Arabidopsis thaliana: one gene and its partner. The protein of the gene in region 1 binds, or shares a complex with, the protein of each later gene. Each region holds a gene or a part of one and is shown on either strand. Other genes may lie near its edges.

What was found. Proteins that work in one complex are often made in the same cells at the same time.
Region 2: rps18 (region 1) and PSRP4 share a complex: the UniProt entries of both Arabidopsis thaliana proteins name them as parts of the 30S ribosomal subunit.

The regions. Positions count from the first base shown.
Region 1 is NC_000932.1:61,658-69,049, forward strand, and holds rps18 (ribosomal protein S18), read left to right. Parts: upstream 1-6,259; coding exon 6,260-6,565; downstream 6,566-7,392. Other genes in the region: petA (cytochrome f), read left to right, coding at 1-962; psbJ (photosystem II protein J), read right to left, coding at 1,881-2,003; psbL (photosystem II protein L), read right to left, coding at 2,147-2,263; psbF (photosystem II protein VI), read right to left, coding at 2,285-2,404; psbE (photosystem II protein V), read right to left, coding at 2,414-2,665; petL (cytochrome b6/f complex subunit VI), read left to right, coding at 4,055-4,150; petG (cytochrome b6/f complex subunit V), read left to right, coding at 4,341-4,454; psaJ (photosystem I subunit IX), read left to right, coding at 5,272-5,406; rpl33 (ribosomal protein L33), read left to right, coding at 5,831-6,031; rpl20 (ribosomal protein L20), read right to left, coding at 6,855-7,208.
Region 2 is NC_003071.7:15,974,322-15,982,112, reverse strand, and holds PSRP4 (plastid-specific ribosomal protein 4), read right to left. Parts: upstream 1,266-7,791; 5' UTR 1,166-1,265; coding exon 1,009-1,165; intron 942-1,008; coding exon 877-941; intron 789-876; coding exon 654-788; 3' UTR 501-653; downstream 1-500. Other genes in the region: AT2G38150 (alpha 1,4-glycosyltransferase family protein), read left to right, coding at 1-413; ATMAK3 (Acyl-CoA N-acyltransferases (NAT) superfamily protein), read left to right, coding at 1,968-2,147, 2,247-2,367, 2,507-2,562, 3,259-3,474; AUX1 (Transmembrane amino acid transporter family protein), read right to left, coding at 5,321-5,554, 6,235-6,492, 6,579-6,786, 7,308-7,405, 7,684-7,791.

The DNA of each region.
Region 1 (7,392 bases):
TGCAAACTAGAAATACCTTTTCTTGGATAAGGGAAGAGATTACTCGCTCCATATCTGTCTCACTCATAATATATATAATAACTTGGGCATCCATTTCAAGTGCATATCCGATTTTTGCCCAGCAGAATTATGAAAATCCACGAGAGGCGACTGGGCGTATTGTATGTGCCAATTGCCATTTAGCTAATAAGCCCGTGGATATTGAGGTTCCACAAACGGTACTTCCTGATACTGTATTTGAAGCAGTTGTTAAAATTCCTTATGATATGCAACTAAAACAAGTTCTAGCTAATGGTAAAAAAGGGGCTTTGAATGTGGGAGCTGTTCTTATTTTACCGGAGGGTTTTGAATTAGCCCCCCCCGATCGTATTTCACCCGAGATGAAAGAAAAGATAGGAAATCTTTCTTTTCAGAATTATCGTCCCAATAAAAAAAATATTCTTGTGATAGGTCCTGTTCCTGGTCAAAAATATAGTGAAATAACCTTTCCTATTCTTGCTCCAGACCCTGCTACTAATAAAGATGTTCACTTCTTAAAATATCCTATATATGTAGGTGGAAACAGGGGAAGGGGTCAGATTTATCCTGATGGTAGCAAAAGTAACAATACAGTTTATAATGCTACGGCAGGAGGGATAATAAGTAAAATTTTACGAAAAGAAAAGGGGGGATACGAAATAACCATAGTGGATGCATCGAATGGACGCGAAGTTATTGATATTATCCCTCGAGGCCTAGAACTTCTTGTTTCAGAGGGCGAATCCATTAAACTCGATCAACCATTAACGAGTAATCCTAATGTGGGTGGATTTGGTCAGGGGGATGCGGAAATAGTACTTCAAGATCCATTACGTGTCCAAGGTCTTTTGTTCTTCTTAGGATCGGTTGTTTTGGCACAAATCTTTTTGGTTCTTAAAAAGAAACAGTTTGAGAAGGTTCAATTATCCGAAATGAATTTTTAGATCTGTCTATTTAGCTTTATCAAATTCGTAAAAAAGAACAAAAAATTATGAAAACCTTTTGCCTCTCTTTAGATTTGCTATTCCTTTTCGACTAGATGTCAGGAATTACTTATATCATAGTCCTAATACTAGTATGTATATTGAGAAGAATTCACTTTACCCCCCTTTATTTATTTTTCAATAAAAATTTGAAAAATGAGAAGGGGTGTGATGTAACTCTGTCGTTATTGACCAATTGAAATTGATAGAATGTATCAATAATCAAGAGTTTTTTTCTAGTCAAATGGCAAAATTTGACTAGATACTAAAATAAGATAAGGAACACACGCGCCGAAAAAAAGGGGAACCATAAATCGGCGAAACAACAAGTTTTAGGGACTATAGGGAGTATTTTTTGTCTTGCTAGTCTTCGACACAAGAAAAGGAATTTTAGACATCCTTTTCTTGTGTCGATCTTGTCCTTCTTGATTCAATTCGTTAAAAACTCCTATTCTTAGTTTACATATATATATATATATTATAGTAGTTACTTTTTGTAGTTTTCTTTTTTTTTTTTTCAATTTTGATGAAATACTAAATAAATAAAATCAGAAAAAACTTCTATTTCGATTCTATTATAGTATAGACCAAATTTTAAATTTTAATGATAGATCTAATGATAAAAACTATTGTGTCAGCCGGGGAAGCAGGAAAAGGGAATGAAGTGATTCCCCTTTTTTATTCTATCTTTGAAAGATTAAAAAATACTATATGTTCATAATATACTAATTTAGTTAAGTTCATTTTTCAAAAACACGATAAAAAATTGTTCTGATTATTAGCAGTTCAACGGGACCCCCTCGAATCAGACAAAGAAGGAAGAGTTGGGCCCCGTTGAGTTCTTATGTTTTCACGTCTATAACTCAGCTCATCCAATTTCTACAGGGATGAACCTAATCCTGAATATGAACCATAAAAGAAAATACCTATTAAACCGATCACAAGAATACCAGCTACAGTACCTATTACCCAAAGAGGAATCCTTCCAGTAGTATCAGCCATTTATCCCGCTTCCCTCCACATTTAATCGAGTGGTCATGCTAGAAACATAAACAGTCAGAGATAATTATTATATATAATCCATCCGAATGGGATAATAAAATTACTACTCTTTATTTTTTATTTTATTATTCTACGCTCTTTTCTTAATTGAAGAAATAATTCGAAAATAAAACAGCAAGTACAAAAATGAGTAATAACCCCCAATAGAGACTGGTACGATTTAATTCAACACTTTGTTCGTTCGGATTTGATTGTGTCATAGCTCTATAATTGAATTAGGTTTATCGTTGGATGAACTGCATTGCTGATATTGACCCCAAAAAAGAAACGGTAGGTACAGCTAGTCCATGAACAGCCAACCAGCGCACTGTAAAAATTGGATAGGTCCTATCTATAGTCATTGGGTCCTCCTAAAAAGATCTACTAAATTCATCGAGTTGTTCCAAAGGATCAAAACGGCCTGTTATTAATGGAATGCCTTGTCGGCTCTCTGTAAAATACTCGTTTGGACGAGGGCTCCCGAACACATCGTAAGCTAAACCGGTGCTGACGAATAACCAGCCCGCAATGAATAGGGAAGGTATAGTAATGCTATGAATGACCCAGTATCGAATACTGGTAATAATATCAGCAAAAGAACGTTCTCCTGTGCTTCCAGACATACTGAACTCCAGATATTCTCGTAGGGAATCGATTCTGTAAAAGATGAATAAGTAAATTAAAATTCACTGAGATTGCATCTTTGTGAGATCGTCAATAAAGTACCAAGGGTATTTTTAGAGTCTACCGAATCAGTATAGCTATCCTTCTTCTGACACAGCAACGCAATTTGAATTAGTATAGAAATGGGGTGTTACATAATTTCTTTTTTTCTTGCTTGTCGATGTATAACCGTGTCCCACTTTTTCAAATTACTGTAATCTATAGGGGCTTTGATCCTTTATTCGTTTTGGACTAGAAAATAAACTAAAGATTAGATAAAATGAAAATCCAAGAAGTTGGTTTCTAATTCTAATAATTCATGAAGCAAATTTTCATATGGTCCCAAGTTAATTGAATGAAAAATTTATAAATTTCATTTTCATTGCATATGCATAATTGTAGAATAGATTTTTTTATGATAATGTGATCCCCCCTTTTACTTTTTGTTTCATTTTAAGGAATTAATTTGCAGAAACAAGAAAAAGAACAATAGTTTTGGATTGGATTGGATCAATTAAAAAGAACAACAAATAAAAATAATAAAAAAAGACTAAATATTTGTAATGCGTGCATTGTTTTGTTGTATTCAATTCACAATTCAAAGGTTTTTTTCTTTCTTTAACTAACTACAAGGGTGATGGGTTTTTCACTCTATTTTCTATATAATCTCGAAAGAAAAAAACCTAAAACCTCGAAAGGAAACGATAATAGAAATTGCTAATTACAAGTTTTAAAAATCTAGTTATCGTTTAAAATCTAGTTAAAATAAATAAATCTTTTTTTTTACTAATCTCGTTCTCCGTGTAGGATACCTCTTTTCTTTTTAGTCTCATTCGATAGATTAAATGAAGAAAACTGCTCTACTATTTAATTTAATCTAATGAGTTTAAATTTTAGTAAATTCAATTTTAATAAAGTAGAAAGAGGCGTATTCTAGGTTCTAAGGTCAATAAAAAAAAAGAATCAAACAACTTATTTTCAAATTTTTACATATTCATTCAAAAAAAGTTATATGTTTTGACTGAAGTTAGATAATAGAGTTATTTTTTTTATGTATTATTTTTTTTTATGATTAATTTCTTAAAGAGTTTTTCAATTAATAAGTTACGTTAATTCTGACTCCTGAGATAGTGCAGATGCCAAAGACGATGAATTGAGTTCTTTTTATCTTTCTCTATTTTTTTTCATACCACCTATAATGATTGATAATTCACAAATTTTCAATTGAATTTTTTTAATTCTTGGAACTAGTTATCTTTCTCTATTTCTTAAAAAAAATTTCAATTGAAACTTAGGGAAGTACTTTAAGAAACATATGTATAAAAAAACATATTTTATTGAGTCCCTTCATGCCTACTATAACTAGTTATTTCGGTTTTCTACTAGCAGCTTTAACTATAACCTCAGTTCTGTTTATTGGTCTAAGCAAAATACGACTTATTTGAAATTAATTGAATGCAGATTTTTTTATAAAAAAGGATTTCGTTGGTATTTATTAATATGTTCGATAGTTCCTTACCGTGTTAATTACCAAATTTTGGTCATTGAGATTCATTGGCAATACAGATTAAGAGCTAGGAATAGATAGTACCTCTCTTTTCTCCCTTTCAAAAATGAAAACAAAAGAAAATTCAAATGATTGAAGTTTTTTTATTTGGAATCGTCTTAGGTCTAATTCCTATTACTTTGGCTGGATTATTCGTAACTGCTTATTTACAATACAGACGTGGTGATCAGTTGGACTTTTAATTAATTAACATCTCGTTTTTTTACTAACCTCCTTCTTGCTTTCCTATGCGGGAGGTCTAATTCAGACTGCTGCTCAGTAATTTGTGAACAGTGGAATTTTGATACAATCTATGAAATCACGCTCTGTAGGATTTGAACCTACGACATTGGGTTTTGGAGACCCACGTTCTACCGAACTGAACTAAGAGCGTTTTTCTTTTTTTTTTTTTCTAAAAAACGAAAAGGCTAGAAAGAGGGCATTCTTTAACCCGACTCGATTTTGTACGTATATACTATATCATACATAGTATATCATAAATTTCAGAATTAAATGTATGTCCGATAAAAAAAATTGATCAAAATAGATACCTCGTTACTGCTCTTCTGAGCAGTAATAGGTAGGGATGACAGGATTTGAACCCGTGACATTTTGTACCCAAAACAAACGCGCTACCAAGCTGCGCTACATCCCTTTCAATAGGTTTACAGTGTCATTGTAGAGAATTCCTGTCTTGTTTTCCACATCCTCCTTCTTTTTTATTGGTATATCAAATTCATTTCTTCTTTTTTTCTCATATCAGATAACAAAGATATAATTAAAAAATTTACTTTTTTTTTTTTTTTTATTCTCTCAATTTTACATAAATAGGCCTTTACGTTTTCAAATGGAATCGATAAGATCGTTCTAGTCGACAATATTAAAATTCTAATTTTGAAAGCGGGGGGACGGAAGTTACATATACAAATACAAGAACTTCTTAATTACATGTACATCTGTAATTATATATATTACTATATATAATGTAATACAATAAAGAAGAAAGAAGGAGGATTTCTAATGCGAGATCTAAAAACATATCTTTCCGTAGCACCGGTACTAAGTACTCTATGGTTCGGTTCGTTAGCAGGTTTATTAATAGAGATTAATCGTTTATTTCCAGATGCATTAACATTTCCCTTTTTTTCATTCTAGTTATTAACATCAGAAAGGGGTGAAAAATTTAGAGATACAATCAACAATCGGGGACTAACCCCCCCACCTTTTCTAATTAGTAGAATAAATTAGAAAAGGTGGGGGGGGGGGGGAAAGGTCATAAAAACGAGGGTTCAGGATCCAATGAAATTAGTAATAGAACGAAAAAAAGTGTTGCTAGGGAACCTATCAGATACTTAAAAAAACTACTGTACAAAGATTTTAAATATAGTTTTCACAAAATCATAAATCATTGTATTACTTATTTTTTTTATTTAATTACTAATAAATAAAATATTAATTGTAACGAAATATTTCAGAATTTTTTTTAGTTAACAGCTTCTATTTTTTTTGTTCTTGTTCTTTCTGGATCCTAAAATTAAAATAGAAGATTGAGGTGAATCATAAATCCAAAGGAGGTTTCATGGCCAAGGGTAAAGATGTTCGAGTAACAATTATTTTGGAATGTACCAGTTGTGTTCGAAATGATATTAAGAAAGAAGCCGCGGGAATTTCCAGATATATTACTCAAAAGAATCGGCATAACACCCCTAGTCGATTGGAATTGAGAAAATTCTGTCCCTATTGTTATAAACATACAATTCACGGGGAAATCAAGAAATAGATCAAATTGAGTGCTTGTATGTCAACTTTTATTTTAAGAACAGGAATAATGCTAGTATCTATATATTATTACATATATATAAATATAAACAAATAAATCAATAGAAAGAAATCTAATCCGATATTCTTAATTCTATATAGAAATTCTATCCTATATAGAAATAGAAATCGTTTTTATTTTGATCCGATCAAAATAGGATTTTAGAGATAAGGAATAAAAATAAAAATTATGAATAAATCTAAGCGACTTTTTACTAAATCCAAGCGATCTTTTCGTAGGCGTTTGCCCCCGATCCAATCGGGGGATCGAATTGATTATAGAAACATGAGTTTAATTAGTCGATTTATTAGTGAACAAGGAAAAATATTATCTAGACGGGTGAATAGAGTGACTTTAAAACAACAACGATTAATCACTATTGCTATAAAACAAGCTCGTATTTTATCTTTGTTACCTTTTCTTAATAATCAGAAACAATTTGAAAGAAGTGAGTCGACTCCTAGAACTACTAGTCTTAGAACCAGAAAAAAATAGACTTATTTTTCAATTGAATAACAATTCCAATCTGAAGGAATTAAAAAAGAGATTAATGTTTTGTTCAAAAAATCCAATCAAGAATAAAAATTTGATTGTTACGTCTGTGTCTATTATAAAAAAAAAAAGAAAAGAATCGTCGAAAAGCATAACTCGTTTTTTCGAAACTATATACTCTCGTTTTGTTTTGACGACTTTTTTTTTAATACTAATTTCTACTCTACCTTCCCCGAGCTCATTCTCCTTAGAACTCTATTTCAAATATTTTCGTGGATTTCTTCCAATCCCCTTATTTTTTTATGTCATTCGAAATTGTATAAAGACAACTCCTATTTAATAGAGCTATTTGTGCAAGTATTTTCCGATTAAGAAGTAATTGCTTCTTGTATAGATTGTGTATGAATTCATTATAACTATAGAATACCCCCATTTCGTGAATTACGGCATTTATTCGAGTGATCCATAAACGGCGAAAATCTCTTTTTCTTTTACCCCTATCCCGATGAGCCGAAACTAAAGCTCTTATTCTCTGTTGAGTCATAGTTCGTGTAAGCCGTGAATGAGCCCCTCGAAAGCTTGATGCAAATAAACGAAGTTTTGTTCTACGCCTCCGAGCTATATATCCGCGTTTAATTCTAGTCATTGAATAAATCAAACTTTGATGAATAACTAATTCTTTTTTTAGTTATTCTTTTCCCCTTTACTAGTCTATTAATAACCAAACGAATTATTCCAATGTATAAAAAAAATTCCAATGGCTTTTGCTACTCTAACCTTCCCCACCACTATTTTTTGCTAGGTATTTTCCTTTACTTTGAAAGGCCTTG
Region 2 (7,791 bases), on another chromosome or scaffold:
ACAACGCAGTGATGGTCTTTGACATCTACCATCCGCTAATGCGAGAATTCTTGCAAGAGTATGCCACAACTTTCGACGGAAACAAATGGGGATACAACAGCCCTTACCTAGTCTCTAGAGTTATCAAGAGATTAGGAAACAAACCTGGATACAACAATCTCACAATCTTTTCTCCCGATGCTTTCTATCCAGTAAACTGGATCAAAATCCAAAAGCTTTTCAAGAAACCTGCAACCACAAGAGAAGCAAAATGGGTAGAGAAGACAGTACAGGACATGAACAAAGGGAGTTACATGATACATCTGTGGAACAAAGTCACAAGGAAGATTAAGATTGAAGAAGGAAGTGTAATGCACACTCTCGTCTCCACTCACTGCACAGTCTGCGGAAACATCACAAACTCTCACATTTAAAGATCCAAACAGAGACAGATGATTCATCCATCTGATCTATCTAAGTATATAGATTCTCGTTCTTAGTTTGCTTTACTTTTTCAATGTAAAAGACTCAATGATTCATAAAGAAGCAAACTTTTCATAAAAAGATGAGAACTTTGGAGATGTTTTTAACAACAAAAGAGTCGTAGCATCAAAGCTTTTCAAAAAACAAATTAAAATTACAGTGAGAGACAACAAGTGAAGAATCTCATATTTCTAATTAGAGAAGAGAGACTCGTCGATATCGATTTTGATCTTCTCGTCGTTCTCAAACTTATCTTTCCTCGGTGGTGCTGGAGGAACCGGTACTCTCTCCGGTCCTCTTCCTTTGCTCTTGTTTCTTGGCCTCGCCTGCTTACATAAACCCCAAATTCAAAACCAAAATTGCGAATTTGCAAAGTAAAATTACGAAATCGGAAAGAGAAATTTGATTACTTACATTCCCAAAAGAGTGATTGAAACGCTTTCCTTTAGCTGTTTTCCGGTCACCTCTGCCACAGTACACTGCGAACACCGGAAAAGTTACGCCATTGACGAATTAAGAGAGAGTTAGATAAGAGAGGGAGATTACCGAGTGGAATTGAGCTGGATGAGGAAGTGGAGAGAGAGAATTGATGAGTGAAGCAAGAGAGAGAGACACCGGCAGTTTCAGAGTGAGAAGATGATAACCGTGAGGAAGGTAATGCGACGGTGACTCGCGGAGGAGCTCCGAGTATAAGCGACGCCATCGCCGTGTGCTGTTTTCGAATTTGTTCGAAGAAGAAGATCCAGAAGAAGATAAGGCAGTGAGAGTAGAAAAACGATTTTAGGATAGGCTTTTAATTATCTTTTCATATTTGGGCTTTAATTTCAATTGGGCTTATTTTAAAGCCCAAATATATCTAAACCCTACACATGCTTGTCACGTGTGTAATCGACCTTGTTCTTGTTCTTGTTCTTGTTCTTGTTCTTCTTCGTCTTCTCTTCGGAGCTTTTTTCTTCAGATATCACCCAGATCGTAACTTTTGATCTTCGAATTTCACAAAGCTCAAACTTTTGGTAAGTATTCTTATCATCTCATTGATCTTGGGTTTCTAAAAAGTTTCAATTTTTATAATCACATCTCTTTCTAAATCTCTCATTACTTGGTATTTAAAATCTGTGTGTGTTTTTTTCATTCTTATGCTTCACAGGATTCTTTACTAATCCTATTGTCACATAACATCGGTAAGCTCTCTTTTTTCTGAACTCTCAAATCTTCTATAGCTCGCTTTAGCCAAAGTCGTTTGCTTTAGTAGAGTGTTATAGATTCTGCTTCAGCTGTTTATTTGAGGCTTTGAGCAATCTGAGTTTGTTATGAAAACATTGAACTTTCAATTCTGAAACAATCACTCAACTTCGATTCACAGAAAATGATTTATATTCTCTAACTTTGCATTATGTGTTTCATCACTTCCTATAGGAACAAGATCATCAATGTATAAACAACTGATCAGAAGTTCATATTTCTCTTTGTAAGTATACAATTCGGGATCTTGATCACTTCTTGCAATGGAGAAAGAGATGGAAGATAAAGAAGAATTCGATGAGGGTGAGATTGAGTACACGAGTTATGCTGGTGAGCATCATCTGCCATTGATTATGTCTCTTGTTGACCAAGAACTTAGTGAACCTTACTCCATCTTTACTTACCGGTACTTCGTCTACCTCTGGCCGCAGCTATGCTTCCTGGTATTTTGACACTCAGCTTTCGATTATCGTTGCTTTACCCTCATGATACTTATGTTTTGATGGATTTATGAGTAGCATTTGTTTTGTTTCTTTTAATAGGCCTTTCACAAAGGTAAATGCGTAGGAACCATAGTCTGTAAGATGGGGGATCATCGACAGACTTTCAGAGGGTACATCGCTATGTTGGTTGTGATTAAACCATATCGTGGCCGAGGCATAGGTAATACTTGAGCTAGTGCTTCCTAACTTCTTACAGAATCAGATTTTGACTGTGGGAGTAGTGTTTGATCTACTGCAAATACATGCCTCTCTTAAGGTTCGATAATTTTGTGTGCTGACTTGTCATTGTTTTTTTACAGCCTCAGAGCTTGTCACAAGAGCGATAAAAGCGATGATGGAATCAGGCTGTGAAGAGGTATGCTGTTCTTGCATTCTCACTTCTCTCTTTATTCCCACTTTGGAGAACTTAGATATTTGGTAGCACTAGAGTGATATCCTTTCCTGGTAGTATAAATGTAGATAAGACCTTATGAACCACCTTTTCCGGAAGGTTATAAGTCCATTACATGTCCTGAAATAGTGCCTCCTTTTTATCTACTAGAATAGAATTTCATAGCTGAGGTGATGTAGCTGCCTTTAATCATTGCAAGTATACCTATTGCTTTTGATTGTTTAGCTAACTGTGTGTGTAAGTTTAGTTCCACGTATAAAAGTAGTTAATCATACTCCTAAGAGTTGGAACTTTTCGATATTCGTTTAGTTACTAATTTTGTAGTGGAAATCAAAATCCCAGTCTCTCACTTAGTATACATATGTTGTATAAGTCTTGTATGTAGTCCATGACTCTTTATAGTCACACGCATTGGAATGTAACTGATAGTAATATAAAATAAGAAATCCCTGTCTCCCACTTACTAATTGCGTATTCGACGAATCATTTTCTGTTGTATGTGTGATCTCTTAACTGTAATCTCAGTAGTAAATAGATTGGAAAAAGAACCTCGTGATTGGCATTTGCTCTTCAAGTTCCTCATAATCAAGCCTGATTACAACATGAGAGTATGGTTGTCTGGTTATGCAATCTAATTAATGTAAAGATGTATGGCTGAAGGTAACTCTGGAGGCAGAAGTGAGTAACAAAGGAGCATTAGCACTATATGGGCGACTCGGGTTTATAAGAGCCAAACGGCTATACCACTATTACTTGAATGGGATGGATGCTTTTCGCCTGAAGCTCTTGTTCCCTAAGCCTCGTGTACCTCAAATACCTTCTCAAGTTCAAACCCAACAAGAGTATGAGACCTTTCCTAGGCCTCGTGTACCTTAAGGCCATGAACGAAGATGTGTGTTTCTTCAATGTATTCTAAATCCTGAACATGCTAAGACTATGTTCTCTTTCGTATGAAGAAATATTATGTGTTGGTACAATTCTAGTCCCATGTTTATGAAGTATTCTCGACTGGAGTAAGCGATTAATCTGGACGTTTCAACGGTCTTGTGTGTCTACAGAAACAATTTAGCATATTCATATCACTTTGTGGTGTGCGTATATACGTTTTTAAGGTCTCTCAAACTTGGTTGATGATTGGAAACAAAGATCTAAATGTTGTTACAAATTCATATAACCACTTAACTTAACCTAATCGTCTCAGGCTACTCCTGACTTCGAGTTAAGTGGATGATATAGAAATCGAGATGTGAAGTGATTTTCAGCCATCAAAATTTTCAAACAGCTCTATATACCTCAAAAGAAATCCAAGATGACAAAAAATTGATTTAAGGCCAAAGGAGAGAAAGATGCCAGTCAAATGTTATGAAAAGACATGCTTGAATAATTGGTATGAGATATTTTATGAAATACTTTTATTGCATACCGTATTTTACTATAAAACAATTTTCTTTTCACAAACACAACCATCTTAGATTTATCCATGTTAGCCGAGATTTTTTTTGTATCCAGATAGTCCACTTTACAAAAAAAAAAAAGTCTAATATAAAGAAGAAGAAAAGCCTCAAATGTAGTTGCAAAACTCACATGGCCTAAATCAGAACAAATTAAAGACGATTCACCACTCGCCACATAATAGTTTATTGACAATTTGAACCCACTCGTTACCAAGGGTCACTAACCAAACGTTACCAAGGGTCCTACTCCATATCGCATAATATGACTCACATTCACTTCTTCTTTTCTCTTTAACGATTTTATGCTATTAGAAGAAACATTTTTGCAAAGTTCTTTTTTATTTTGACCCCCAACAAAAAAAAAGTCAGATGGAAAGTACAAGAATCGGACTCTGGATTCAAACGAGAATATTAGTTAATAATTTTACATATATAGTTATAATCTTTGGGGGCAAAGTACATGTGAAAGCAGAGCATATGATAAGGGGTAAACGATTGAGTACGAATGGAACGAACACATGCCATATTTAATATGAGGGACAGGAACGGTCCTCTGATCCATTCTTTTGATCAGAGAGAAGATGAAGAGTGTCAAGTAAATAATGGCACGTGACTCGGACGAAGTATCCACGTGCGTCCTCTCCCCACACCCATGTGGCCCATAGGATATATGACCGGCTCCGTCGGTCCAACTTGTCCATGTTCCCCTATTTAATTTTTAAACACACCCTGCCGTTAAATCAAATTTTCCAAATAAATTAAAGTGTTATTTCAAAATTTTAATGTAAACTTAGTAGTATTGTCGCTGTGCTATGATCAAAACTGTATAATTAAAAGATCTAATAGGATCCTAAAGAATTATCTAGTATCGGAAGATATTGTTCATGGTAAAATAGTTTATATAAGTCTAATTAGGATAAATGTATAAGATAAGAATTGTTTTTTGTTACTAAAGACAAGTAAAAGGAGAGAAGACGATACATTTTCTTAGCCTATTGTTTTAACAATACCAAATTAAGAAATCACACACTACATATTATCGACTATTCAATTTTAAAAAAAAAACTAAGGAGTGAAAACAAAAATACAAAACCCCAAAAGAGAAAAAAATAATTAAGAGCTTAGCACGCATTTAAAGGGGTGTGTAAAAAGTACACTATTTTCGTGACTTTTACTCCCTTCACGTATACGAACACAAAACACAAAAGAAGAACAAATAATTTTAAGAACCCTCCACAAACGCATTAGAAGAACCCTGACTCGATCTCTCAAAGACGGTGGTGTAAAGCGGAGACCGGGGCATGTGCGGCGGCTGCAGCTGGTTTACATTGGTAACACTTGGCAAAGAGACCAAAAGTGTCGACTTGACGAACAAAGTTGGTTACACTAGCCCATCCACCGAACCCAAATCCGACTATAAGAACCCAAACCACCACGAAAGCATTCAACACGTACATCGCCGTCCAGCTCGGCATAAAGAACGGTGGCTTCTCCGCCGCATTCTACAAGAAAGATCCAAAACACAAAAATAATCAGAGAACCATTAAAGAAATAGAGAGTGTGTAAGTGTTTTAGAGTTTTGGTCGTATAGTAATGGACAAAATCCAAAGCTTTGTTGACCCATGAGATAGAGAGAGAGAGAGAGAGATATGATTGTGATTTGTCATACTCAGACTCTCACTTTAGATTAATGTTAGGCATAGAGTCCCTATTGTACAGCTCCTTTTCATTTCTGATTATGACTCTTACCTATTCCTCTCCCCTATTTTCCTCTACTTTTATCTTACGTAAATTTAATATACACTGTTTTGAAAGAGAGAAAGAAAAAGAAGTCATGGTCAATTACTAATACTAACCTAACCGGATATTGTATTTTTTCTTCTAAATGTAACCAAATAAAGAAATGGCTGAAACCAACTCAATAATATATTATTTGGAGGGGACGCCAGTAAGGAATGTGGGTGATGATCCTATCTTCCGTAAGATACGGAACACTGAACCCCATCTATCTTCCACAAAAGACGTTTTTGCCCTCCAATTTCACAACCCTACCCCCCAACTATAATATTCCTCCACCGACTCTTCATTTCATTTCTAAAAAATTATTGGTAACTCAATGTATTTTAGGTTAAGTTCGAGTTTTGAAACGCTAAAAGAGAGTGAGCTAGTAAAGATGTTATACCTGACGAGCGGAGGCAGATCGGTAAGTGAGCATGTGAGCGAGAGATGGGATGATATAGACGGTGAAGCTAACAAGAAGAGCACCGACAGCGGAATTGATTGGACCGAAAAAGGGGAAGATAATAGCTAAGAACCAAATAGGTATGACCACAGGCAATCTAGCCAAAGCCCTTAAGCAAATGCTCTTTGTGTCATGCATCCCAATCACTTTCTCCCACACAAAGTACAAAGGTGTACAAGCGAACCCGAACGTTATAAACTGCACGAACAAGAACACGTTGCATTAATCTCTCATGATCAAAATTTACTTAAAAAAGAAAGAACAAAAATGTTGTATGTGTATACCTGATGAATGAGCATGAGGATAACAGCGGCGTCACGCCACGCGTTCTTGGGCATAAGAGAGAAAGCGTTGGAGTGGTCGAGAAGTGCGTCTCCGAAAGCCCAGTAAACGGCGGCAGCTGACGGAATCGTTAGCGTGAACACGTATAACGTCGCCATCAAGTAAATGTACTTAAACTTCTGTGGTTTCCACATAGCATGCATAATCTCACTGCAAATTAGAAATTACTGTTAATATTCATAATTTCATCCAAAACTTTAACTATGTAAAAGATTGGATTCACAACAATCATTGACGCATAAAAAGGGTGTATTTGACATTTCGCAAAAGCGTACTATTCCTACTAGTAGTAGTAGTGCTTTGGTAGCAATAGTGTTTGTTATTCTTTATAGGGATAGGAATAATAATGGTTATTCTATTTTATATTTAAAAAGAGCTTATTTTATTAGTACTACTATTTTAAGGATTGCTAAAAATAATAATGACAATCATGATGACTGTAATAATAGTTACACCTTATTTGCCGGCAAAAGCTGCAATAGAAGCGGCGAAGAAACGATACAGCAGCACCCATAATTTAATAATATGGCACCATTTTAATTTACCATATACTTTTTCTGCCATTTAGCTTTAACTTAAATAGTAATTCAACTATGTCTGACAAAATTTATTGATCTTTTATTAGATACAAAATTAATAATCATTAAGAAATCAAAAGAAGAGTAACTTACACAGTAACCGCGTGACCTCCAAAGGTGTACAAAATATTTGTGGCTCCCGTAAAATAAAGCACTAGCTTTGTTGGACCTGAATGTTTCACACCTTCCGCCTAAAATAAACAACAAAAAAAAAATTTGATTAGGAGAATATTAAACAGCTAATTTTGTCTAAGTTATATTATACATACACTTTTTAATACAAATTTGGGTTAAGATGCAAAGAATAATCCCTGATCTTAAAGAGAAAATACGAATTTTTTTTATTCTTCTTTTTAATTAAGGCATATACTGTCACCTCAATGCAAAGCATATAAATATGAAAACGACAGTGTAGTGATCTTTATAATGTGATGAAATATATTTTTGGTGAAATATATTAAAACATTACCTGGCCGTGGATGATGGAGGCAATGGCTAAGTACCAAGCGGTGTAAGTGGTCATTCCAAGGCCAAGGAATGACCAAATTCGGTAATTGTGAAACGACGGTATAAAGAC